Linked DNA regions of Xenopus tropicalis. The protein of the gene in region 5 binds, or shares a complex with, the protein of the main gene of each other region. Links are inferred from orthologs where the notes say so. Each region holds a gene or a part of one and is shown on either strand. Other genes may lie near its edges. The genes, in order: cwc27, phf5a, snrpf, snrpg, sf3b5, sf3a2 and snrnp200.

What was found.
Region 1: sf3b5 (region 5) and cwc27 share a complex: the UniProt entries of both Homo sapiens proteins name them as parts of the minor spliceosome. The link is inferred for Xenopus tropicalis from reciprocal best matches to the Homo sapiens genes SF3B5 and CWC27.
Region 2: the proteins of sf3b5 (region 5) and phf5a are in contact, whole or in part, in a cryo-EM structure (PDB 7EVN), measured with the Homo sapiens proteins. The link is inferred for Xenopus tropicalis from reciprocal best matches to the Homo sapiens genes SF3B5 and PHF5A. Residues at the interface, in NP_112577.1 of Homo sapiens: Arg4, Tyr5, Thr6, Ile7, Gln10, Leu14; in NP_116147.1 of Homo sapiens: Pro6, Asp7, Leu8, Ile9, Phe10, Cys11, Arg12, Ile88, Leu91.
Region 3: sf3b5 (region 5) and snrpf share a complex: the UniProt entries of both Homo sapiens proteins name them as parts of the minor spliceosome. The link is inferred for Xenopus tropicalis from reciprocal best matches to the Homo sapiens genes SF3B5 and SNRPF.
Region 4: sf3b5 (region 5) and snrpg share a complex: the UniProt entries of both Homo sapiens proteins name them as parts of the minor spliceosome. The link is inferred for Xenopus tropicalis from reciprocal best matches to the Homo sapiens genes SF3B5 and SNRPG.
Region 6: sf3b5 (region 5) and sf3a2 share a complex: the UniProt entries of both Homo sapiens proteins name them as parts of the 17S U2 SnRNP complex. The link is inferred for Xenopus tropicalis from reciprocal best matches to the Homo sapiens genes SF3B5 and SF3A2.
Region 7: sf3b5 (region 5) and snrnp200 share a complex: the UniProt entries of both Homo sapiens proteins name them as parts of the minor spliceosome. The link is inferred for Xenopus tropicalis from reciprocal best matches to the Homo sapiens genes SF3B5 and SNRNP200.

The regions. Positions count from the first base shown.
Region 1 is NC_030677.2:188,226,393-188,230,426, forward strand, and holds the start of cwc27 (spliceosome-associated protein CWC27 homolog), read right to left. Parts: upstream 2,801-4,034; 5' UTR 2,709-2,800; intron 2,629-2,708; 5' UTR 2,537-2,628; coding exon 2,495-2,536; intron 111-2,494; coding exon 14-110; intron 1-13. Other genes in the region: protein SREK1IP1, read left to right, coding at 2,982-2,994. UniProt on the Homo sapiens protein: As part of the spliceosome, plays a role in pre-mRNA splicing. Probable inactive PPIase with no peptidyl-prolyl cis-trans isomerase activity. As a component of the minor spliceosome, involved in the splicing of U12-type introns in pre-mRNAs.
Region 2 is NC_030680.2:120,355,630-120,358,621, reverse strand, and holds the end of phf5a (PHD finger-like domain-containing protein 5A), read right to left. Parts: intron 2,393-2,992; coding exon 2,226-2,392; intron 683-2,225; coding exon 593-682; 3' UTR 501-592; downstream 1-500.
Region 3 is NC_030679.2:57,034,658-57,038,748, forward strand, and holds the start of snrpf (small nuclear ribonucleoprotein F), read left to right. Parts: upstream 1-1,291; 5' UTR 1,292-1,419; coding exon 1,420-1,422; intron 1,423-2,291; coding exon 2,292-2,417; intron 2,418-3,412; coding exon 3,413-3,477; intron 3,478-4,091. UniProt on the Homo sapiens protein: Plays a role in pre-mRNA splicing as a core component of the spliceosomal U1, U2, U4 and U5 small nuclear ribonucleoproteins (snRNPs), the building blocks of the spliceosome.
Region 4 is NC_030679.2:122,085,895-122,090,194, reverse strand, and holds the start of snrpg (small nuclear ribonucleoprotein G), read left to right. Parts: upstream 1-1,500; 5' UTR 1,501-1,527; coding exon 1,528-1,559; intron 1,560-2,173; coding exon 2,174-2,196; intron 2,197-3,004; coding exon 3,005-3,129; intron 3,130-4,300. Other genes in the region: protein FAM136A, read right to left, coding at 1,016-1,102. UniProt on the Homo sapiens protein: Plays a role in pre-mRNA splicing as a core component of the spliceosomal U1, U2, U4 and U5 small nuclear ribonucleoproteins (snRNPs), the building blocks of the spliceosome.
Region 5 is NC_030681.2:58,017,282-58,019,795, reverse strand, and holds sf3b5 (splicing factor 3B subunit 5), read right to left. Parts: upstream 1,079-2,514; 5' UTR 1,077-1,078; coding exon 816-1,076; 3' UTR 501-815; downstream 1-500. UniProt on the Homo sapiens protein: Component of the 17S U2 SnRNP complex of the spliceosome, a large ribonucleoprotein complex that removes introns from transcribed pre-mRNAs.
Region 6 is NC_030677.2:102,627,584-102,631,579, forward strand, and holds the start of sf3a2 (splicing factor 3A subunit 2), read right to left. Parts: upstream 2,801-3,996; 5' UTR 2,774-2,800; coding exon 2,648-2,773; intron 2,566-2,647; coding exon 2,494-2,565; intron 1-2,493. UniProt on the Homo sapiens protein: Component of the 17S U2 SnRNP complex of the spliceosome, a large ribonucleoprotein complex that removes introns from transcribed pre-mRNAs.
Region 7 is NC_030679.2:125,093,387-125,096,886, forward strand, and holds part of snrnp200 (U5 small nuclear ribonucleoprotein 200 kDa helicase), read right to left. Parts: coding exon 3,495-3,500; intron 3,087-3,494; coding exon 2,950-3,086; intron 2,868-2,949; coding exon 2,787-2,867; intron 2,510-2,786; coding exon 2,336-2,509; intron 2,245-2,335; coding exon 2,107-2,244; intron 1,203-2,106; coding exon 1,047-1,202; intron 849-1,046; coding exon 678-848; intron 527-677; coding exon 333-526; intron 66-332; coding exon 1-65. UniProt on the Homo sapiens protein: Catalyzes the ATP-dependent unwinding of U4/U6 RNA duplices, an essential step in the assembly of a catalytically active spliceosome. Plays a role in pre-mRNA splicing as a core component of precatalytic, catalytic and postcatalytic spliceosomal complexes.

The DNA.
Region 1 (4,034 bases), on a different chromosome or scaffold from region 5:
TTTGCAACGTTACCTTCTAAACAAAGCTGTACAAAGTTTCGGCATGCTCTTGGTGCCTCTTTTGACCACAATTCAATGTCAATCTCTCCAGCAGTTGTTTTCAGCAAAACCTGGAAAAGTGGTAGTAAAAATTATTATTTGGGCAGGATTTCTTCCTCTTCTTGCTGCCTTTGTCTTTCACGTGTGGCATATAGTATGACACAAGTTCACACAGGACATCCTACCCTACCCGTGAGCATTATTTAAATATAAAAAAGTTGGGGAGTAACACAAGCACGAAAAAGTTTTCTAGGGGTTACAATGAGGACTGTGACTGGTTATTAGGTAGCCCAACGTGGATGGGCAGACTACAGGAGGCTCAGTTTGGCAGTACACATGGTCTTTATGCCCCCAAAATTTGCATCCAAGCCAGAGGCTACTGGGAGCAACTTCCAAGGGGTTGGGGAGCAACATGTTCCTTGCAAGCCACTGGTTGGGGCTCACTGCTGTAGACCTTCTTTACCTCTTACATGGAACTAGATATATAATTATCACAGCGTAGTTCAGGAGATACTTATGGGTACATCATATAGAAAGAAATGGGATGACATTGAGCAACAATATGGAGGTGAGCAAGTTGATGGCAGTGGATGTGATCTACTTGGACTTTGCTAAAGCATTTAGCAGTACTGCACAGAAAGTTAATGGTAAAATTTGGCCTGGAACATAGTGCTGGGCGGTATGACCAAAAATTTATATCACGGTATTTTTTTTATTATATCGGTATCACGGTATTTGACGGTATTTTTTTTTCCCCATGCATGATTAGGTGACCACCCCAAACACCCCCCCCCCCCCAATTTTTCTTACTATTTCCGGGTTGCACGCGCGACGTCAGCGCGCACAACCCGGAAATAGTAAGAAAAATTGCCAGGAGGCGCCCACACCGGTATGCCGGTAAGTTAAAAATTTTTATCATTTTTTTTTTAAAAAAATGGTGTTCGGTATATACCGGTATACCGCCCAGCACTACTGGAACATAATATTTTAAATTGGATAAATAAATGATTGAAGGATAGATTACAGTGTAGAGAGAGGTGGTAAATAGAACATTTTCTAATTGGGCCAGTGTTGTTAGTGGAGTACCGCAGGGGTCAGTCCTTGGTCCTTTGCTTTTTAACTTGTTTATTAATGACCTGGAGGTGGACATTGAAAGTACTGTTTCTATTTTTGCTGATGATACTAAATTGTGCAAAACTATAAGTTCCATGCAGGATGCTGCCGCTTTGCAGAGCTGACAAAGCTGGAAAACTGGGCAGCAAATAAGGTTTAATGTTGAAAACTGCAAAGTTATGCACTTGGGTAGAAATAATATAATAATGTAATAATATTACACACTAAATAGTAGTGTGTTGTGGGGATCCTTAATAAAGAAGTATCTGGTTTTTTTTGTAGATAACAAGTTGTCTAATTCTAGGCAGTGTCATTCTGTGGCTACAATAAAGTGCTTAAAAAAAGGGCATTGACTCAAGGGATGAAAACATAATTTTGCCCCTTTATAGGTCCCTGGTAAGGCCTCACCCTGAGTATGCAGTGCAGTTTTGGGCTCCAGTCCTTAAGAAGGATATTAATGAGCTGGAGAAAGTGCAGAGACTGCAACTAAACTGGTAAAGGGGATGGAAGGGTTAAACTATGGGGTTAGACTGTCAGGGTTGGGGTTGTTTTCTCTGGAAAAGAGGCGCTTGCGAGGGGACATGATTACTCTGTACAAGTACATTAGAGGGGAATATAGGCAGATGGGGGGGTTCTTTTTTTCCCATAAAAACAACCACCACACCAGAGGCCCCCCCTTAGGAACGGAGCTTCCATTTGAAGCAGCGTAGGGGGTTCCTCACGCCCCGGGGAGGGCAGTGAGGTTGGGGAATGCCCTTCCTAGTGATGTGGTAATGGCAGACTCTGTTAATGCCTATAAGAGGGGCCTGGATGAGTTCTTGAACAAGCAGAATATCCAAGGCTATTGTGATACTAATATCTACAGTTAGTATTGATGTTGGTATATATAGTTTAGGTATGTTAGTTTGGTATATAGCCTATATATGTGGCTGGGGTTCGCCTGGAGCCCATTCATGTAACTAAAGGACAGCCTGCACTGGTGCATTTGGGCACCTTCCTAGCAGGACATTAGTTAGTCAGCTCAGAAGCTCTGTCCTAGGGCTGAATATGCAGGAGGAGTCTCCATAAAGCGCAGCACAGTCCTCTCTGCTCCCCATGTGGATTATACCAATGTGCTGACAGCTGGGGGGGGCAGCTACATGACGCGAAACTAAAACATTTACCCTGGGAAATGTATTTTCACAGAAAAACATTGAGTAAATTTACTTATAGACTTTACATTTCCTTTATCAGGTACCGCGCTGGGAGAGATATTTCAGCAACAGCAGATGGGAATCCCATGCTAAATATTATTCCTTTATCCTTCTGCCCTACAAGCCCCTTACTTTCTCCCGCTGCTCACCTTGCCGTTTGTCGGCGGCTCCTGAATGTAAATATTGCTCATTGTTACTCAGCTTCTTGCAAACAAACTCCAGCGTGCAACCTGACAGGACGGGACCGCCCACATACAGCCTCAGAGGGGTGCCAGAGAAGATTCTGATTTAAAAATGACACAGCAAAGAGCGTTAACAGGACTCGTCCCATCCACAGTTATATAGTAGCTCGTATTTTGTTACCCGAATGCTCCAAGATCACAGCGTCTACAGCAGAGGATGATTACACCAGAGTTGCATTGCTTTAGTTCCCCCCTTTCTCTTAGTGTGGCCGAAAGTACACTTCCCGGAAACCAGAGCTTTCATTTGCGTTCCACTGCGCACCGCTTATTCTGTTCCGCTGAGAAACAAGTCCATGCTGTGATTGAGTTCCGAGGAAGTGAATTGGTTAGGAGGCGCGCAGTAACTGTTTGAGGGGTGCGATCTTCTGTGTACGGACGCTGAGAATTGTGACTTATGGCTGTCCCAGGTTAGTCTGATTTATAAATCACGTTTTTTACCTCACCTGATCCATCTGATTTTGATAGAGAGGACTTTTATAATACAGGCTCGAGTCTGAACTCGACATGTGTAAAGTCTCTGCAAAGTGCATTATGTTGTACTGTACACTGTACGCACACAACCCAACTCCCCAACCCAATTAGTTTTATCCCCCGCTATTTTATGCCCGAGTCCCCAAAATACGTAGGACATCATTTTTTTCTGCTTTTGAAGGGGTGGTTCACCTTCAGTTAAACTTTAAGTATGTTATAGAATAGCCTGTTTTGAGCAACTTTTCAACTAGTCTTCATTTTATATTTTCGGTTGTTTCTGCCTTTGTCTTCAGGCTCTTAAGGTCCCCATACACGGGCCGATAGAAGCTGCCGATATTGGTCCCTTGGACCGACTCGGCAGCTTATCGGCCCGTGCAGGGGCAGAAACGATCGGACTGGCCGACCGATATCTGGCCTGAAATTGGCCAGATATCGGTCGGCCAGGTTAGAAAATCCTGTCAGACCGGGGACCGCATCGGCTCGTTGATGTGGTCCCCGAACCGACTGCCCCATTGCTGCTTGCAGAATTCGATCGTTTGGCCCCAGGGCCAAACGATCGAATTCACCGAAATTCCTCCCCGATATCGCCACCCGTAGGTGGTGATATCGGGTGAAGATCCGCTCGCTTGGCGACATCGCCAAGCGAGCGGATCTGCCCGTGTATGGCCAGCTTTAGGCTAAGAACCCACCGAGCGAGTTACTTGCCCACAATATCGCATGCGAGTAGCTGCTCCAAAAAGGACTACTCACGCAGAGTTGCCTGCAGGAGGAAACTTTGTGCAACTTCGGAACACGAAACGATACAAAGGGCTTTCCACCAGCGACTTCTATTGTTACCTGTGGAAAGCCTTTTCGAAGCAGTTACTCACATGTGATAGATCTCTCCTAACTCACTCAGTGGGTTTGTACCCTTAGGGCTCTAGTACATGGGGAGATTAGTCGCCCGCGACAAATCTCCCGTGTTGCGGGCGACTAA
Region 2 (2,992 bases), on a different chromosome or scaffold from region 5:
TAGGCTAGCAGAGCATAGGTCAGTGATCCCCAATCTGAAAGCTAGAAAGAGTCAAAAGAAGGCGGCAAATAATGATAAAACTATAAATAATAATGAAGACCAATTGAAAAGTTGCTTAAAATTGGCCATTCTAACATACTAAAAGTTAACTTGAAGGTGAACCACCCCTTTAAAATGGTAGTGGCAAATACAGGTATGAGATCAGTTACTACTAGAAAAAAAAATATATATTTTTATTAAAAAAAATCCAGTGCTGGACATTTAATAGGTGATCCAGGACTGCAGGCAGCCAGTTAAAGATCGTGACTCCATGGGACACTTGGGAGGTATGATATCCTTTTCCCTTGGTGCCACAGTTATTCGCCACAGGTTAACAGTATACCACTACTTTTGTTGCACATTATAAAGAGTAAGCCTAAATACCTTGCAACCTGTTCTAAATGTATTTAATGGTTTCTTTACATTATAGGATAAAAGAAGATGTTAAATGAGAAGGGGCATTGTTGTAAAAGACATTTTAATGATTTCTTCAACATTACAAAATCAGTTTTTCACAAAAAGATAAGATCACACAGAAAATCCAAAGGCAGGATCACCTCTTCTTGAATCCATACTTCTTTCTTTCGTAAAAGAGATCTGTTTTGGAGCTGCCTAAATTTACAATTTTGGGACAACCATCTCTCTGCAAAATAGATGTAGAAAAGTAATGAAAACGTTAATAACAAAACTATAAACACAAGTAATTAAAGGGGGCCTGTCACCCTAAGAAATAATTCCAAATAATTTTCTATTGTGTTTGTCAAGCAAAATAAACTTCACTTACAATATATAAATAATATACATCTTGTTTCCTTCAGTCTTGGAATTACATAATCACAGCAAACAGGCAGGTTCCATTTTGTAGACACTTATTAAAGCTAGCTTTGTATCACCCCAAAATCTTGTATATTAGCCAGAATGGGGGGGCCATACCCACGTACTGGCTACACAATTAGATGGTGAGGAGAAACGGGGAAAGCGAGTTCTGAATGGAAAATAAAAGTAACTGCCTGCCCCGCCTCTATGCCTAGGCATAGAGGCAGGGCAGGCAATACATGATTGGCAGCTGTGATATTTAAATGCCTTTATAATGGCTATGGATGTGTTTTACCTGAAAACAATACTTAATATTGTGTATATTTCCAAAAAAGAAAAAAAATTCCTGTATTTCTGAAAAAAAAAATTTTCTTTTTAAAAGATGCTGGCACTTATGTTCTTGCAGACCACAATTCCAGGCTACTGTCATTACAGAAGTGGGATGGTTTTGGCTCCTTTGGTGTTGTGAATTTGCACATAATTGCCCATGTGCTATTTAAGGCAATGTAAAAATCTTGTAATGTAACAAAAAAGTAACAGAAGATTTTTAAGCTTTTATGAAAAAAAAAAAAGGCATAAAAGGGAATTTTTAGGTGATGACTATGTAACTAACTGTGGAAGAACATGGAAAAAAATATCCTTTAATAGTTTAGGAAAAATGCAGTACATTTAGATGGAAAATTAGGAAACCAGATTATTCCTGCATGTCACATAAGAAAATGGGAAGTGATACAGCTTGCCTTGGGAAAAGATTTTGTGTATACAGAATGCACGGTCCTGGGGTTTTCCCGAATATAGGGTGCTTCTGTAAACTGGAGCATTGTGCCCTAAGGCTACCAAAATAAATACAACAATTATGAATATCCAACATGTGCTGCCATCATTACCGATTATATGCAGCTTCATTATCACCAAGTGCAAGATACGGTCTAATTATTAGAGAAAAAAATAAAGCAAGCAACTCTTCCCTTACTAACATCTTTTGGATAATGGGATTCTGGGTTCTAGATCCCTCACTTAAACTAATTTAATCAGTAAAGACCACACAAAACATGTAATTTAATAGCACAGGAAACATTAACCATTTCTGACAGTAACTAAAAATGGCAGCTTCAACTCTAAATTATAGAAATAAAGTTTGTTATTCCAACATTCCGGTCTTCCTTGAGACCTTTATCAAGGAAGACCGAAACGTTGAAATAACAAATAAACTTTATTTCTTTTTCACCATACTTTTAAATCCTGTGAGTGCCCTGCTTTATATGAAAGTCTATATTTACTCTTCGGCGGTGTGCACCCAGGCACACTCTCTAATAAGCGAATGCAGCTATTTTTTGCTATATATTTTTTTTTATTTTGTCTTTACTTACATCTTTCTCCTGGATGGTGCATTCTTTGCAGTAATAAGCATCTGAAACCCCAGGCCCTCCGCAGATCACACATCGCCCTTGGTAAGAGCCGTAGTTACATTCGTCACAAATACGCACAAGAGTGCACGGGCGTACATACGAGTCACAAATCACACACTTCCCATCACCTGCAGATTAAAAAAAATAATTAAATTGTTAATTTCTTAACAGGCTTGGGTACTCTCCAGATATGCACATTTTTTTTTTTGCTCCTGTAACAGAGATAAAAGGACATGGCAAGCAGTGTCGGTTTATTAGGGCAATGAGAGTGTTATTCTCTCTAAGGTGACTAACTGGGTGATGGTAAATTAAAAAAATCCACTCGTTTGCTGAAAAATGGACTGGTCCAAGTTTCCATTCCATTCTCTGTTGCCATCTTGTGTAAAGTCCCAGGAATCCCTTGCAGCTGATTACGCACACATGCAGGAAAGATAAATCCCTGATTTTACTCTACTGCACACAATTTCCTATGCAAGCCTATAGTACATGCCAAGGGATCATTTGGAAGATGGCTGTGCTGTGCTAATGAAATACACCACTATGCTAGTGCACCTTTCAGTAAAGAGGAGAGCAAGCCCAAAATCCAAGGTAACGGATTATATTCCTTAGGGACTCCCTAATTAATTCCTTACCCTTTAAGACTTGTAATACTATAACTATACATGGTAAGACTGAAAAATGTTACAAATCAATTAAACTCAAAAAGACAAGGCTATTCAGCTCCAACT
Region 3 (4,091 bases), on a different chromosome or scaffold from region 5:
AAATTGCCCCCATAGAGAGTACCCCCAATTGCTCCCATAGAGAGTACCCCCAATAGAAAACACCCCCCATACACAGTAGCCCCCAATTGCCCCCATAGAGAGTACCTCCAATAGAAAATGCCCCCCATACACAGTGCCCCCCATTGACGCTGCTTCTTGTGGCTCCTGCTCCTTATGCGGCTCCTTCTACGGCGGCGACAGGACCTTTTATAAGGTTGCGCCCCGTGCGTACGTGTGACATCACACGTACGCATGGGCGCAACCTTATAAAAGGGCCTGTCGCCGCCGTACGAGGAGCCGAATAAGAAGCAGGAGCCACAGGACGAGACGGAGCCGGAGTGCTGGCTGCAGTCAGCGCATCCCGCTGGCCTGGATAGTTTAATGAATGTTCTGCATTTCCGTAATGCGGGACATTCATTGAACAATCCGGGACAGCGGGATGCGCTGTAAAAACCGGGACTGTCCTGCGAAAAGCGGGACAGTTGGGGGGTATGCAACCCACTTAGGGTCACAGTGTAATGCAACCCCTCTCTCACTTTTTCTTTCTTTGTAAAAAGCGCACAGATTCTGGTATAAAGGGGGACAGCTTGCATTACATTGGGAGACAAATGTGCTAAAGAGCACAGAGAAAACTATCATGGTTTTCTTTCTACCTGTGGAATCAGGTACTCCTGGGTGATATCACTCCAACTTGCAGCGCAGCAGTAAAGTGTGACTGAAGTTTATCAGTCACATGGCTGTAGCACCCTGGGATATGAAGAATATGGCTAGCCCCATGTGAACTTTTAAAATTAAATATAAAAAAAAACCTGTTGAAGTTCTATTAACCGATGCATTTTGAAAAAAAACCTTTTCTCATGACAGTATTCCTTTACCCATTCTAATTTTACCCTCCAAGTGCCACCAAGTCCTCGGAAAATCAAGGCTTCTAAATCTGGACTGTTGTGCATAATAGTGAATATAATTACATAGCGTTAACAAATAATCAAAACAAGGTACGAAATACAAATAGACGGGACGCAATGTTTGTATTTGTTGTAATTGCAGTCAGCGCAGTATAGCAACTTGCATTTATTAGAAATGCCTAATTGCGGTTCCTGGGGGAAGGCCCTGTAGTACTAGTAGTACTGAGGCGGCCCGGAGTCAGCACAGAGGGTGAGCCTTGTACAATACAACACCATTGTGAAATAATCCCGCCTCCACTGGCGATTGTTGGAGTCATGTTGGAAATCCAACTCCAGCCACTAGAGGGAGCAGTTAGCCATTCAACGCGTGTCGGCTCTCTATGGTCTTTTCTCCTGTCGCTTCCGGGCCTTGGCAGCCATTTCCCGCTTTGCTCCAGCGGTGTGTTCTACGGGACGCTCCGGGGAGGAATTTTTTTTATTGATCTGCAGTTTGTTGTGAGGCTGCGGTCGCACCATGGTAAGTACTGGAGGTGTGCGAGTTCCAGGCCTGGCGGGACAGGGGGTGTCAGTGTGTAGGGATGGGGGGGAGTGCAGGCAGCATGGTGTGTGGGGCTGTTCATTATCCCGAGTAGCAGCTTATCCCGCCGGATTTACAGAATGGGTTATGCAGTTGGTTCGGGTTTGTTTGGTTGCTTTATTGTTAGGCCTGTGTGGAAAGGCGTAACGTGTTATCTTTGCAGCGTGTGTACTCGCTAAGGGCACGTTGCACGGAAAGAGCCTGTATGTAAGGCGCGGTGTAGGCTGCGCTGAAATATAAGTAGCCATGCAGCGTGGGATGGTACTATCTCTACTGGGGATGAGCCGCGAACATGGGATGTTTGCGTCTGTTCTTAAAGCGGTGGCACATGGGAGTTGATAATTTCCTAAAGGCCATGTGTTCCTCTGCCTATCATATCTCAAGTGGTAATGCTACAAATGGCATGTTATACTGTTTGTACTGTGACTGCCCTCAGCCAGCAGTGATGTGCAGCCTTGTGGCCCTCCAGCTATTGAACTGCACTTTCAACTATCAGGAAGAATAAATAAATGCCCCTTTTTCATTTTACTGTGGTAGTGTAATAATATATAGCCTCCTACCAAAGAAAGGATGATTTCTATTAGATATGGATTTGTGGTTGTTGTTGCTGGCCGTGCCCCAAGTATCATTATTAGGCAGGTGTCCCCTTTTGGTTTCTTGGAAGGGAGCATGAGAAAACTGAGGACAAATAAAGGCAGAGATATAGTATTGAAAATGTATGCATATGATTACTTCAGGTTATTGCATGAGTTGACGTTTTAATCACAAGACCTATTGAATATTTATATTATAAATGATTATATTTTCAGAGTTTACCACTGAATCCAAAACCCTTCCTTAATGGCCTCACTGGTAAGCCAGTTATGGTAAAGCTGAAATGGGGGATGGAGTACAAAGGCTACTTGGTATCAGTGGATGGATACATGAACATGCAGGTAAGTAATAGCACTGAACATGTCAGATATTATAGTTGGTTACTTGCTGTTATAAGTTAATTTATTAGATTATTTAATAAAAAAAAATATATATTGTATGCATGTGTATATATAATTTATATTATATTCCCTTTATATTGTGCCAGAATTGTATCTGGGCTTTCCTGTTGCCATTTTAGAGCAGTGTATGAGACATTTGGATTGGATTGCCTCTGTCTCTAGTTAACACTAGGAAATTGCACAAGTAAAATGGTTTTGGGCATCAGCAGCCCATTGCTGGCAATGAAATACATTAAAGGAACAGTAACACCAAAAAATTAAAGTGTAAAAAACTAACTAAAATATAATGTGCTGCTGCCCTGCACTGGTAAAAGTTGTGTGTTTACTTCAGAAAGTCTTCTATAATTTATATAAATAAGCTGCTGTGTAGCCATGGGGGCAGCCATTCAAAGGAGAAAAGGCACAGGCACATAGCAGATAACAGATAAAACACTATTGTACTCTACAGAACTTATCTGTTATCTGCTATGTAACCTGTGCCTTTTCTCCTTTTTTCCAGCTTGAATGGCTGCCCCCGTGGCTACACAGCAGCTTATTATATAAATTATAGTAGTGTTACTGTAGCAAACACACCAATTTTACCAGTGCAGGGCAACAGTGCATTATATTTTCATTACTTTAAAGCTCTTTTATTTTTTGGTGTTACTGTTCCTTTAAGTGCTGCTTAAGGTTGCATGCAATTAGCTGGAGTGCTTGCCAGAGTGTTGTGACACTTTATAGTACCATTGCTAACCCTAGTAGCATTAGCACCAATTAGCCAGCTTAATTGCTTTTAAAACATAAGTAACAATTAATATTAATATTTCTGTATTGCAGAGTTTTTTTTTTTTATAGTAATGATGGTTGAGAAAGTAATGAGTGTCCATTATCCAAGGTTGCTGTGATGTGTGAGAAGCTTTTTCTGTTGGTTAATTCATTTATATATATTATTGCAGCTTGCAAACACAGAAGAATATATTGATGGTGCATTGTCTGGACATCTTGGAGAAGTTTTGATAAGGTAAGAATTGTGCACTGGGGATGCTTTGTAGGTGGTCACATTACAGCATATATGTCTGCTTTTCTGAAATAGAAAGCAAACTCTTGTCAGCATGTTAAGGCAACTGCATGTGCCATATAGATTGTAAGCTCTACGGGGCAGGGACCTCCATCCTCTTGTGTCTTTGACTCTTAACTTATTGCAACTGTAACTGTATCTTGTATGTATTTGTATTTATTGTTATACTTTGTATTTATCTATTATCTTATTAACCCCCTATTTGTATTAATGTATTCTACTGTACAGCGCTGTGTACATAAGTAGCGCTTTATAAATAAAAATATATATACATACATGTGAACCAGTGAAAAATGTAAAGTATATTCTGTAAAAAAAAAAAATGTACTTTTTAAATAGTTTCTTATCTAAACTGTGTAATTTAACAATTATTTAAAAAGGCAACAAATTGTCCTTTTAAATATTCTCTTTAAAGCACAACCTCCAAGGAGGCGTGAGTAGATTGCCCTTTTTTTTCTTGATAACTACCTAGTAGCAAGAATTGTATCCCTTCTCTAGAAAAACAATGTGACTGCTACCTTTTCTCTGCTAAACTGTTTAACTATTGTATTCCTTTT
Region 4 (4,300 bases), on a different chromosome or scaffold from region 5:
ATTAAGTGGCCTATTAAACAATTTCAACATTAAAATATATGTATATAGGGATGCACCAAATTCACTATTTTCAGATTTGGCCGAACCCTGGATCCTTTGTTAAAGATTTGACCGAATTCCAAACCAAATTTGTACATACAAATTAAGGCAAGTAAGGGTTAAAGAGAACCCCACGCAGAGTGTGACAAAAAGACAGGTGTTTTTAAAAATTCGGATTTGGTTCGGCCAGGACCTTGGATTAGACTTAATCCTGCACCGAATCCCGGATTCAGTGCATGCCCTTGGTGTGTTTGTGTGCTACAATAGCAGGAGGCCCTTAATATATAAAATGGCAATTTTCTATGTAGGATTACCCAATAGCACGTGCTACTAAAAGAAGTATATTTTCATGCAATTTATTTAGAAGATGCAGGGTTTTACATCTGAGCTGTTTATGCAATATATTTTTATAGAGACCTACATTGTCTGGGGTATAGATTTCCTTTGCTAAGAGGCTTGGGCCACACTGTGGCTTTCAAACATAAGTTTTACTCATTTGAACTTTTTGCCCCAGTTTCTTTTTCCCCCAGTTTCTTTTTGCCCCAGTTTCTTTTTCCCCCAGTTTCTTTTTCCCCCAGTTTCTTTTTGCCCCAGTTTCTTTTTGCCCCAGTTTCTTTTTGCCCTACCCATTTCTGATGAAGTTTGCAGCAACAGTACTTGCGGTTTAATGGTAAGGAACAGAAACCTGAACAGAAAGATAAGTCCCTGTGCTAAGCAAATGTAGCAGGAAAACTAGTATGTTATATTAAAGGACAAGTAAAACCTGGTATATAAGGCATCCCACAGCCATTAGTCCTGTACATTAAAAATGACCAATTCCTATTGGACCCCCAGGCATTTGTGCCCCTTCCATTCAAGTGCATGGGAGTGCTACCCCAGGGGGACTTTGAATGGCAGCAGAGTATAATAAAAGAAGTAATGGAAGATGGGCTGTAACGCCCTATGACATAAGACTAATTACACCAGACTATGGTACCTGCATTTTCCTAATGTTGTCCCTTTCCAAGCTCTTCACCATAGTGTCTATCGCATTTTGAAGCCGGTTCTGCTGTTCCTCTGCCATGTCTGACAAGCGTGTGCTCCAAGGGCAACGCACCTCTCTTCCGCCCTTACACATACCCTTCCGGTTACGGCTTGCCCTTACTCTAACTCTACGGCATCTACGTTGTTTTGCGGCAGACATCTAAGCTGACCGACTAGCTTCCATAGCCCCAAGTTTTTGTTAAATTCTTCTATAACCAATCAGGGAAAACGTATATATGTAATCAAATTTGCAATATTTCTTATATACTTTAATATTTGATACACAATGTTATATTTAGCCCAACTAAAGCCGGCTAACGCGTCTCCTTTGTATTCTTTGGTGGTCGTCATAGCGACCGTGGGGGTGGGCGGGGAAGCGCATACACGTAAGACGTGCTTACGTCACATTAAGGCGACTGCGTTACTTGGCGGCAGCGACCGGGGCTTTGTACACGAGGAACGAAAATGAGCAAAGCGCACCCGCCCGAGCTGAAGAAGTAAGGAACGGCCCGGGGGGGGGCAGTGAGGGGCAGAGCGGAGGGGGCAAGTGAGGGGCAGAGCGGAGGGGGCAAGTGAGGGGCAGAGCGGAGGGGGCAAGTGAGGGGCAGAGCGGAGGGGGCAGTGAGGGGCAGAGCGGAGGGCAAGTGAGGGGCAGAGCGGAGGGGCGGCTTAGGCTGTAGCCGGGGAACATACACCCAAACCTGCAGCCTCCATTGCGCTGTTTCATGTTGAATGGCCCGTTTTGGAGCATGGAGGCTGCAACCACATCATTCACACAGAAAGAAATGGGGATCTTTTCGATTCCCACATATCTTCCAATTATATTTTGTGGTCAAACTGATTGATTGCCCATATATTGCAATATACTCCAAGCTGGCCAACTACATCAGTCGCAGTCATAGGATTCATTAAGGATTCTAGTATTTCATAATGTGCACATGGATCTCTGGGAAGAGTGAAGTAGCTCTTATGCCTGATACTAACCCTATAAGGGAACTGCATTGGCTTCTCTTGGGTCCCTAGTCTAGTGATCTGAGCACAGGTGATTAGGTCTTGTTGAGTTATTATTATAATATAATGTATTTAAATGTTGTGTACTTTTTACTTTTAGGTTCATGGACAAGAAACTGTCTTGTAAGTATTGAAAAATTTTCCATCTACTTGTAAAAAGAAAAAAAAATAAAGGAAAACTATACCCCCCAAACAATGTAGGTCTCTATAAAAATGTTTCATAAACAAGCTCATATGTAAAACTAAATTAATCTAAATAAACCATTTTCTTAAAAATATTATTTTTTTAGTAGTATGTGCTATCGGGTGGTACTAAATAGGAAATTGCCATTTTATGAATTAAGGGCCACCCCCTGGGATCATAGGATTCACAGTGCACACAAACAAGCCAAGACACACATACATGTTAGGCCCCATCAGCCAATGAATGGGCAGAGTTCTGCCTTTTGCTCCCACACTACTCCCTGTTACAGTCAGAGCTGCATTATTTCCTGTCAGCTGATCTCTGAGGGAGCACACAGCCCATCACTAAATGGTGGCTCAAGGGAAAGGATGTAAAAGGGCAATATTTACTAATATATATTCCAGTTTGACAATATTCTTTAATAGGCCACTTAACAAAATATAAACTATCTGTTGGTTAAGTATTCGTTCTGGGGGTATAGTTTTCTTTTAAAAAATAAAAATATATATGATGAGGTCTGTGCTCGGACCTTATTCAGGTGCTTGGCCAAATAACAGTGTTATTTAGAATAAGAAGCAGCAGAGAGATGGTGCAATGAAGGATTTATTCAGGATACAGGACTGCTGTTCCTCACTCTATATAAATATATGCAGTTATAAGGGAACTGTACCAGGTGACTCCCCAAACCAGTAAACCACCAAAACCTTGAAGCATCTGATCAAATTTCCTTTCTTTTCTTTCTTTCAGTGAAGTTAAATGGTGGGAGACATGTCCAGGGGATTCTGCGTGGCTTTGATCCCTTCATGAACCTTGTAATAGATGAGTGCACAGAGATATCAGGGGGTGGCCACCAAAACACCATTGGAATGGTGGTAAGTGTTAGACTGAGCTGCAACATATATTGTATGGTCCCTTACTGTGTGTGTAATTTAGGGTGGCCGTTCATGGTCAGATTTTCCAATTTTTAAACTAACATTTGAGGACAACGCAACGCAAAATATAATTTTTTGCCTAATAAAAGAAAACAGAATTCTCAGCTTTGCAATATACATTTATTACAAATTTGTAATGGTTTTTGAGTTATTTGTATATATAATTGCTATTAGAAGCAGTGTTTGTCTGTCCTTTTCTATTCTCTGCCCTGGTGGCTCTGGCATTTGAAACAATGTAACACAAGGCAGCCAACTGACAGACCTGACTTGGGGAAGGAGACTGACTTTTGCAACATTGTTTAAAAAGTAACCACCAGGAGTTCGGCAAATGCTGCTTTCAATAGCAATTACATTTACAAATGGCATTTAATCATACAATGTTATCCACAGAGAAGTAGCACGTTAAAGATGTCGTCATTTTGTTGCCAAAAGGTAAAGTAATATTGTGCATCTACAATGCTATATCAGCTTGTGGCGGAAGCAGTATAAACAGGAAGTGATGTATTTTTCATCAATTTTTATCGATATTGGTATGCTATTTGCTATTACAACAAGTGAACGAATGAGTTCTGCTTGTTTGTAATGTGGCTGGTTGCCTTGGCTTGCTGGTATTGCAGCAAGGTATTCTTTTGCCTGTATTTATATTTACCAACAGCATGCACATGACTTTTCATAGTGTTTATGTGGTTAAAATGTAGGGTTGGCAACAAACATTTGGGTCTTGTCATATGCGTTCGTTGACTTCTGCAGGTACTGCCAATATATGCACAGAAAGCGACTGTTCAACGACAACTTTCACACCAACTCTTATCGTTGCCCAACTGATATTTTTAAGAATGTTGGGCCAATTAGTAAATTCTTACATCTAGAATTGTTTGTACACTACCAGCTATACAGTTTGTCCTGAAATCAGTCGTGAGACTACAAAATCTGAGCATGTATGGCTGCATTTAGTGGAATATGGTCAGATTATTAGCAGCTAATATTGCAAAGTGTATTGGCTTCTGTGAAGTTCAGATTAAATAATGACTAATCGGCTGAGCAGCTTTAGTACTTTAAAGATGGCCAGTTTAAAGAGAGGGATCTAGCCCATGTTTTCTGGGTAGGATGA
Region 5 (2,514 bases):
CTTTGCAATTGATTTTCATATTTTTTTTTTTTTTAAATTACATGCTTTTCTCTTCTGCCTCTTTCCGTCTTTAAAATGGGGTCACTAACACTGCCAGACAAAAACCATTGATCTGTGTGGCAATGGTTGGTTTTTTTTCCCCTGTCTATGCAGGCTTTCTCCTATTCATATTCCAGTTCAAACCACTGCCTAGGGTAAATAATAGCAACCAGATAGATGTAAGAATATGAAAACTGAAAGCAACTCAACAAAAAGCTATATAAAAAAAAACAATTATGAAGCCTAATTGCAACTGACCCTAGGGTTGCTGGCTACTAAAAGCACCCTGACTACGTTTACCTTTTCCAGTTTTTTTTTTTTTTTTGGGTGGGGGGGGGGATGGGCAGCTAGATTCTCTTCAAGAACACCAAACATAGCACCCTGACAATAACATTTTACATACTTATTAATCTAATAAGTGAACCACAGTGAACAATTAAAAAACTAACAAGGGTATGTTGTACAAGGATTCAACAAGAGTTGATTGTTTTATTACAAGTGATAAGCAGTTGAAAGAAAAGCCTAGATTAGTCGTACAAGGATTTCGAAGAGACTTCAGGCAAATGCACAAACGTCCTCAAAGTACTTTATCACGGACTCCTGGAATTCAGAAACTCCATTTAGAATTAGCACAGTCCTGCTTTATGATACACGCCTGTTGATTAGGCGGGAATCTCTTGCTTAAGTCCCGGAAACTTTAAGACGAACGGCGATAAGTTTGATCGACTCCAAGAACTCCATAACAGGCAGCCTCAGAGAAGAAACCATCGCCACGCTTAAGAGTCGTCGGGCTTATCAGCTGGGGGCCCACACGGCTGCAGCATCTTCTCCATCAGGTTAAAACGTACCCGTGCTTTACTTTCGTTCTCAGCCACGGCAAAGTAATTGAGCAGATCAAAGTGGCCCATGTAGGAGCAGTAAGAGTCTCTGTGCTGGTTCACCAGCCACTCCCACTTAGTAGTATCCGCATGGCCCGTGCCGATATACTTGGACTGCAGATGCTCCAGTTGGCTGTGAATAGTATATCGGTCTGTCATGGCGATGGCAAGCGCTAACAGCAAGCTCACTGTACACGACTTGGTGTTATGATATGCAGCGGTAGCGCCTTTGGCTTCCGGAGGACAAAAGAAGTCAGCGTGTTACAGCAGCCGGAAGTTACGTTGCTTCCGGGAGTGACCAATATATCGACGCCGACTAAAATAAATAAAGTTTCGTAATTTTGTAGTGTTTTGCTCATTTTCGCTTCAGCGATTGGCCCGCCTATTTCAAGCGAAATCGAAACTCCCTGCATGCTCAGTTGTGGGACACAGGGAGAGAACAGGCGGAAAGCTGTATGGAAAAATATAAAGTGGTTGCAGTTGGGTCAATTCTATAGGAATAAACCATTTTTTGAATAGTAACCTCCGCAACATGTTAACACATGAAACAATACCCAGCGGCATATAGATTACTCGCCTTCCAACCTTTACCTTTAAAGTGATAATATCCGTGATTTTAGCACACAGTCTTGCGATTTATTAAAGTTATATAAAGGCAAGGGTTCAATGTCCCCTCTAATTTCTTCTCAGTTATGTACACAAAAAATATTTTGTGCGCACAGTTTTTAATTTTTTGCATTCAGCATGTGTTTGTAAATGCATACATTAAAGTGATGTTAGAGCCCTAAGGGAGCAACTAAGACACTACCCATTTTAGACATGTAAACTTTGGCAGTATAAGGGCATTTCTGGCACATAATAACTTGGAGAGGCTTTTCACAGGGTTAAACACCGAAGGGTTAAATTGACCTATCAGTATATTCCTCTTGTAACAAGCAAAGATCTATTAAAGAAAAATTATTTTTGCTTGAAAGAAAAAGTTAGAACTGAAGTAGGTAATAAATGTGCTTTAAAGTAATTCAAGCTTGTTGAATCATTTTAGGTCTGTTACACATGGGGGAAATTTGTGCGTTTGATCAAAGTAAGTTGTGCCTGCGTAAGGCAGCATTCTTCATTGCATGAACTTTGTAGTGCACATGAGCTGTTTGCAGATGTAAATGTCACTGATGATGTCAGAAGGAAAATGGCTGCCAGGTAAAAGACACTATTTGCTTTAGGGATATGTAATGGTGCTGACAAACACAGGGGATATATGCAGTACAAATGGAGTTGTTTGGGTGCCCAACTTATATATATATGGTAGGAAAATGTATGGTTTACATGTCCTTTAAATTGCACAAGTGGAAAGTAGGCAAGCAATATTGTTAACAAACTAAATAAAGTAATAAAATAAAAAAAAGAAAAAGGAAAGGAAAAGGAGAAAAAAAATTACCTTAAAATCTGAGGAAAATAGCTCAACAGTAAAGAGTTCTGCTAAAATTTGCAGAAATTAAAGTTGCGCCTTTTCTGAGATTTACTGTTTCAAAATGACTAAAAATACAAATCTAAGAATTTCCAGTTAAACTTGCCAAGATCATGTAGAAGTCAATGGCAGATG
Region 6 (3,996 bases), on a different chromosome or scaffold from region 5:
GCATGTCACAATAAAAAAAATAAAATTATGCGATAAGAAAATGACCTTTATGCCTTTTAAACCAATAAGATTTTTTCTTTTAAACAGGTGACCAGTAAATGCAACCTGCTAATTGGTTGCTATAGGTCACAGCACCTGGGCAAACTCAGTGCTTTTTATTACATAATCCCATTAGTGTCTAAACGCACCTGCCAGCTCATTCTATTGAACTTTTGCAACACAACATACCACTGCTTTGCATTTTTAGCCCCAGCTATTTTGGAAATTCCCAGTAGCTGCATAATGTCAAAGTGATTTATACATTTGCAATTTTAATATCCCCAACTTTACTCATAAACATTTACTAGATGTATTACTACTTAGTTTGAGTTATTAGCTCAAAGTCTTTGCATTGCCAATATATTTTCAATTCAAAAGGCACAGATCCTTCTCACAAACACTTACATTAATACCAACCATTTCCATCATGGCCCTTGTTTATGTGCCCACTTAGGCATGAAATGCACAAGGCTATTTGCATGCTGTTTTTGTAAATAAACTACTTTTTATTTGCACATTATCTACACGGTGGATGATTATGAGTGCGTCCTCATATTAACTGATGTTTGGAAGGGCTGGGGCAATGACAGGTATTAATGAAACAACTCAGCATCTACAGGTCCTTTTCAAAAAATTAGCATATTGTGATAAAGTTCATTATTTTCTGTAATGTACTGATAAACATTAGACTTTCATATATTTTAGATTCATTACACACAACTGAAGTAGTTCAAGCCTTTTCTTGTTTTAATATTGATGATTGTGGCATACAGCTCATGAAAACCCAAAATTCCTATCTCAAAAAATTAGCATATCATGAAAAGGTTCTCTAAACGAGCTATTAACTTAATCATCTGAATCAACAAATTAACTCTAAAAACCTGCAAAAGATTCCTGAGGCTTTTAGAAACTCCCAGCCTGGTTCATTACTCAAAACCGCAATCATGGGTAAGACTGCCGACCTGACTGCTGCCCAGAAGGCCATCATTGACACCCTCAAGCAAGAGGGTAAGACACAGAAAGAAATTTCTGAACGAATAGGCTGTTCCCAGAGTGCTGTATCAAGGCACCTCAGTGGGAAGTCTGTGGGAAGGAAAAAGTGTGGCAGAAAACGCTGCACAATGAGAAGAGGTGACTGGGCCCTGAGGAAGATTGTGGAGAAGGACCGATTCCTGACCTTGGGGGACCTGCGGAAGCAGTGGACTGAGTCTGGAGTAGAAACATCCAGAGCCACCGTGTACAGGCGCGTGCAGGAAATGGGCTACAGGTGCCGCATTCCCCAGGTCAAGCCACTTTTGAACCAGAAACAGCGGCAGAAGCGCCTGACCTGGGCTACAGAGAAGCAGCACTGGACTGTTGCTCAGTGGTCCAAAGTATGTCATTCGGAAATCAAGGAGCCAGAGTCTGGAGGAAGACTGGGGAGAGGGAAATGCCAAAATGCCTGAAGTCCAGTGTCAAGTACCCACAGTCAGTGATGGTCTGGGGTGCCATGTCAGCTGCTGGTGTTGGTCCACTGTGTTTTATCAAGGGCAGGGTCAATGCAGCTAGCTATCAGGAGATTTTGGAGCACTTCATGCTTCCATCTGCTGAAAAGCTTTATGGAGATGAAGATTTCATTTTTCAGCACGACCTGGCACCTGCTCACAGTGCCAAAACCACTGGTAAATGGTTTACTGCCCATGGTATTACTGTGCTCAATTGGCCTGCCAACTCTCCTGACCTGAACCCCATAGAGAATCTGTGGGATATTGTGAAGAGAAAGTTGAGAGACACAAGACCCAACATTCTGGATGAGCTTAAGGCCGCTATTGAAGCATCCTGGGCCTCCATAACACCTGAGCAGTGCCACAGGCTGATTGCCTCCATGCCACGCCGCATTGAAGCAGTCATTTCTGCAAAAGGATTCCCGACCAAGTATTGAGTGCATAACTGAACATAATTATTTGAAGGTTGACTTTTTTTGTATTAAAAACACTTTTCTTTTATTGGGCGGATGAAATATGCTAATTTTTTGAGATAGGAATTTTGGGTTTTCATGAGCTGTATGCCACAATCATCAATATTAAAACAAGAAAAGGCTTGAACTACTTCAGTTGTGTGTAATGAATCTAAAATATATGAAAGTCTAATGTTTATCAGTACATTACAGAAAATAATGAACTTTATCACAATATGCTAATTTTTTGAAAAGGACCTGTATATGCTATAATACTAATCAAATGAGCCATTTTTACATGGAACTTTACTTGTCATGGCCATCACAGGGGACTTGATTTTAAATGCACTACAGACTTAGAATACTAATAGACAGTGTACAACTCACATACAATGACGGGCCTTGACATGACCAGTGAGGTTATATATTTTGGCCAAAGTGTGGTACTAACACATTTTTTTATAAAAACTATTTTTAAAGTCAAAATGAGTGCTTGCAATCTTTCTCCTTCAACTTACCTCATTATTATGTAGGGTGAGGCAAAGCTTGCATTCGTAAGAGCCAAGGTGGTTTTTCATAAAGTATGGATCCTATAAAAAAAATATATATATATTTTAAATTAAATAATTGTTATTAATGCAACCCTAGGTCCCTCTTAAATATTTATAGTACCTTATTAATGTCAATAGTTTCCAAAGCAAGTTGTCTGAGTCGCTCCCTTCTGTCTCTGTTACTTTCAGATGCAGAAGCCACCCCTCCGCTGCCGGTCTTTCCTCCGGCTCTGTGTTGGAAATCCATGGTTGGGGATTGTCGAGGATACAAGCAAGATCAAACACCTGACGAGAAATTCAAACTTAAGTTACCCACTGAAGCAAATGTTTCAAAGCAAGGGCTATGATGTTTTCATAACCTTAAGGCTGATGTCAGACGTAGCGTAGGGCTGATATTTTCGGCAAGCGGAAAATGGCGTGGCGAAAATACAGCCCTACGCCTGCTACTTGTGCCTGCACCCGAATGAATGGAATACGCTCGGGTGCAGGCACATGTAGCCGATATACGCATGAAAACGTGAGAGAATGCAAAGTCTCGCGTTTGTATTTTCGCCAAGCGTTTTTCCGCTTGCCGAAAATATCAGCCCTACGCCACGTCTGGCATCAGCCTTAATTGTAGCAGTGGTCAAAAATGGGCATGCAAACATTTTTTAGCATAAGTACAAGACGCTAAGCATCCTGTGCTACATTCCATTTAACTCAATGTTAAAGGAGAGATATCATATATATAAAATAAGAATATACCAGTGAATTATACTCCTCTAGATATAGAAGGATTGTGCTTAAAAAAAGTTGTGTTCCACCACAACCCCACTAGTCCCGCCCATCTGCTCCACTTCCTGCTGGCTGAATTCTCTTTATGTGCAGGGGAGCTGGCGGCTCTCAGTACACTGCATTGTAGGATAGGAACTAATCAGCAGTTAGGCTGATCTGATTGGGAACTGAAGCCTGTCTTTGCTTGTGTGAGTGCAAGGCTGTGATTGGCTATCCCCCTCCTGCTGTGCTTCTAGCAGGGACCATTATGGACACGCCCACCCTTCATTTGAAACACGGACAGAGAATGGATAGGATCTATAGGGAGGTCCAATAAAAGGACCATTTTTAGATAGGATTCATTTTTAGCCCAAAGTGAAACCAGTACCATATATTATTCATAGTTGCCTACAAAATTAGGGTTTTTCCCATTTATCCAATGTGTCTCCTTTAAAGGATTTGAATAGAGGAGTTTTGCTTACTGCTACTAGCAGCAGCATTCAAAACACTGCAAGTACCATGACCCCAAAGTGGTAGATTTCATACAGGCAGGAAGGTTTTAAACTCCTGCCATCTCAATCCAAGGGTATTAATATGAGGTCCACTCTTTACTGCTTAAATATCCTCTACTCTTCTGAGATGTCTTGCCACTAGATATTGAAACATTGTTTGTGGGATTTGCTTCCATGCAGCCCAAGAGATTTAGTGAGGTTGGGC
Region 7 (3,500 bases), on a different chromosome or scaffold from region 5:
AACGTTTGATGGCCTTTTTCTCTGTAATGCCTACATAGGTCTGTTCCAGTGGCACCGGACGAAAACTGAAAAGATGTTTAAATAAAGATAAATATTGTAAAATTGTTTCTCAAACAATTTAGACTTGTCATGTGTCTCTTTTTTCAAGCTCATCTACTATGTTTAATAGTGACCATTCCTTGTTTCCTATTATATGCAACTGTATGACTGTAATGGCCGCACCACTAACAGCCAAACGCACACACAAACACTGGGATGCATAATTCATGAACTAGTAAACATTAATGATTAGAAATGCAGTTTGTTCTTAATTCTATGGTTGAAGCAGATACCTGTTGTCAAAATAAAAAAGCCCCTTGGCAGGATCCACACGAAGAAATGTGGCTACATCCTCATAATTAGGCAAAGTGGCACTGAGACCAATAAGCCGGACATCCTCCTGTGTCATCTCAATATTACGAATCGCTCGAGCGACCAAAGACTCCAACACCGGACCTCTATCATCGTGCAGCAAGTGTACTTCATCCTTGAAGAAAAGTCTCAAGTTAGATATAAGTTACTTTCCACTAGTCATTTCCAGGACAGTCCACTAACTTAATAGGTTGCCTAAAACTTTACACACTGAAACAAGGCACAAAAGATTAAGATGGCAAGCTTTGCTAGTCCCTTGACCTCACCAGAATGATCAGACGGACAAGCTGAGTGTATGTTCTCTCTCCTCCTTTACGGGTGATGATATCCCATTTTTCTGGGGTACAAACTATGATCTGTGTGGCGTTAATTTCTTCTTTACATAGCTGGTGATCTCCTGTCAACTCTGCCACGGTAATGCCATATGTTGACAAACGCTGCAAAGGAAAATGCAGACAATAAGGCCCAACATGCCCTGTTAGAATGCTTCTTGTGATAAGCAAAAGCTACACTAGGAGTTGGTATTGATGCATATGAGGTAAGTAACACCATGTTAGGTACATGTTCCCACTTCATAAAGCACCAATATTATGCATTGAAATATGGCTCAGTTGGGATGTAAGAATTGAAGTTACCTTGCTGAAGCTGCCCACCATTTCCTGGACCAGGGATCTCATGGGAGCAATGTAGATTATTTTGAAGTTGTCCACATTGATGGTGCCATCCACATTTATGTGCTTTCCAATCTCCCGGAGCATGCACATGAGAGCTACATTTGTTTTACCAGCTCCCTAGAAAAACAAAAGGAGAAAAATAAATTCACAGTTCCAATTTCTTTTTTTCTTCGTCATTATAATAAACAAGGAAAATGTGTTAATTTCCGATTAATAAAGAAATGCCTAATGCTTAATTTTCACACTAATGTAATGGGGGAAAGGTAGGAGGGAGCCCAGACAACTCATAGTCATTTTTCACCAGTAGATATCGGAAAGGGGCTTGATTTGGGGGAAAAAAAGAAAGTCTATCACTGCAAGAATTTAAATTGTATAAAACGTTTACTTCTGGGCATCAGTCTGAAACTGATCATCCTTTAAGAATTGCTGCAGTTTCACCTTGTGCATAGTAGAGTGAAAAAACATTCATTACAATGGTTGTTCGGCTTCTGAAAACTTTTTTCAGTTTAGTTGTTTTCAGGAAGTTACTAAAATAAAATACTTTTTTTAAACTGTTTTCTATATTTTAGTTTTGACCTTTTTTCTAATTGAATATTAAAGTTTTATTTTACATCTTTTCACATTTCCCAGCTGCAGCTCTGAAAAGGGGGAGGGGATCACCAACTGTTCTAATTTGAAACATTTCTTATCTTTGGCCCTATGTTGCTCTGCAGCAGCTGCTGTAGCTACATTTTTGCTACATTAGTTGATACATTTCTTAGCACCATCTATGGAATGTTATTACCTACTGTAACAGTTCAAAGTCTGCGTCTGGATAACTGTGATGACTAAAACACCAGAGAGAACAACCTTAAAATTGAAACTTCAGTTTAAGAAAGAAAAATGGTCAAAAATGAAAAAAACTGAAAGCAACACCTGAACTGAAATAAGTGTTTGAAAGGTGAACTACAAAAGGCTCTATTAGTATATTTGCACATTATGCAAAGTGTACAAATTGCATTATAAGGAAAAAAGTCCTTACGGTGGGAGCACAGAGCAACAGGTTCTCATCCGTTTCCAATGCAGCTTTAAACAATTTGCTCTGGATTCTATTCAGAGTCTTGAAGCCTTCAAAGCCAGACTGAGCATATTTAGGTAGCTTTTCAACTGGGACCAGTTGCTGAACAGGTAAAAGGAAAGAAAAATTAAAAAGTGAGGCAATCCAAGTTCACAAGGAAAATTAGTCCAACAATATCAAGAACTCCACTTACCTCATCAGAAGCAAAAGGTTTGGGTTTAAGGGCAGGCACATGCACCTCTTCATACCCTTTTCGCTGACGTCTAAAGGAGCCATCAGGCAGTTGGCATCGTTTGTTTGCCATGAAATGACTACCCTGGGCAAAAACCAAATCCTCCAAGTCCAATACTTGACGAGGAGCGAAAGCCTAGATGGAAATAAAAAGACAAAACCAAAATGACCCTTGGATTATCACAAAAAAACAAATGGCTTTTATCATATTAGCTTAATACAGCTTCTATTTTGCTACTGGCTTACATATGTAATTAACCTGCAGGATAAAATTTCAAATGCTATTAATCTAGGTACCTTTTTAAAGAAATTGGTTACATTTTAAATGACATTATCCTGCTTCACTTGTTCCTTCTTTACCATTGCCTTGGCACTGCACAAAGTCTTAATTTGGAACAGTATTCCATGCCTACCTCTCCTTGCTCTGTTTCCATGTTCTCCAAATCCATGTCTACGTTTAACTGCCTAACCTTGTCTCTGTGCCCACGTGCCTCCTGAAAATAAAATAATATATATAAATGCCTATAAATGAAAACACAGCAAAAGAATCTCCTCTCTAAGAACATCATCTCTTACCCGAATCAGGTCCTCCTTTTCAGTCTCCTGTAATTGGTATAGATATTTAGAGAGTTCAGGATCGGACTCCATTTTGCCCATAATCCTTTCTTTCTCTGCTTCACTCTGAGCACTGGCCAAGAGTGTGCAATACATAACTGCAAAAGAATATAAGAGTGGTCAAAAACCTTAAGTTAGGGGATATTTACAGTGTGTATGACGACATTAACAAGACCAATACACTAAGGGGCACATTTACAAAAACTCTAAAATTTGTCTTTTTTTAAAAAAATTTTCAAACTCAACTAAACTCATTTCCTCAAATGAAGAATCTTCAATGAAAGGGAAGGGACCTCTGCCCTTGACTTTTACATCAACTTAGCAAGTTTAACCTTGCGAATTGTCAGATATGGATTTTTAGCCGTTTAGACAAATAGTAAATCTCTGAAAAGTCGCAGCATTTTTTTCCTGTGACTTTTTGTACTTAAAATCCGATGGTTAGTAAATGGGCCCCCTAAAAGAATTCTTGCAGAATAAACCAACACAAATGTAGAAAAAAAACTCACTCATCA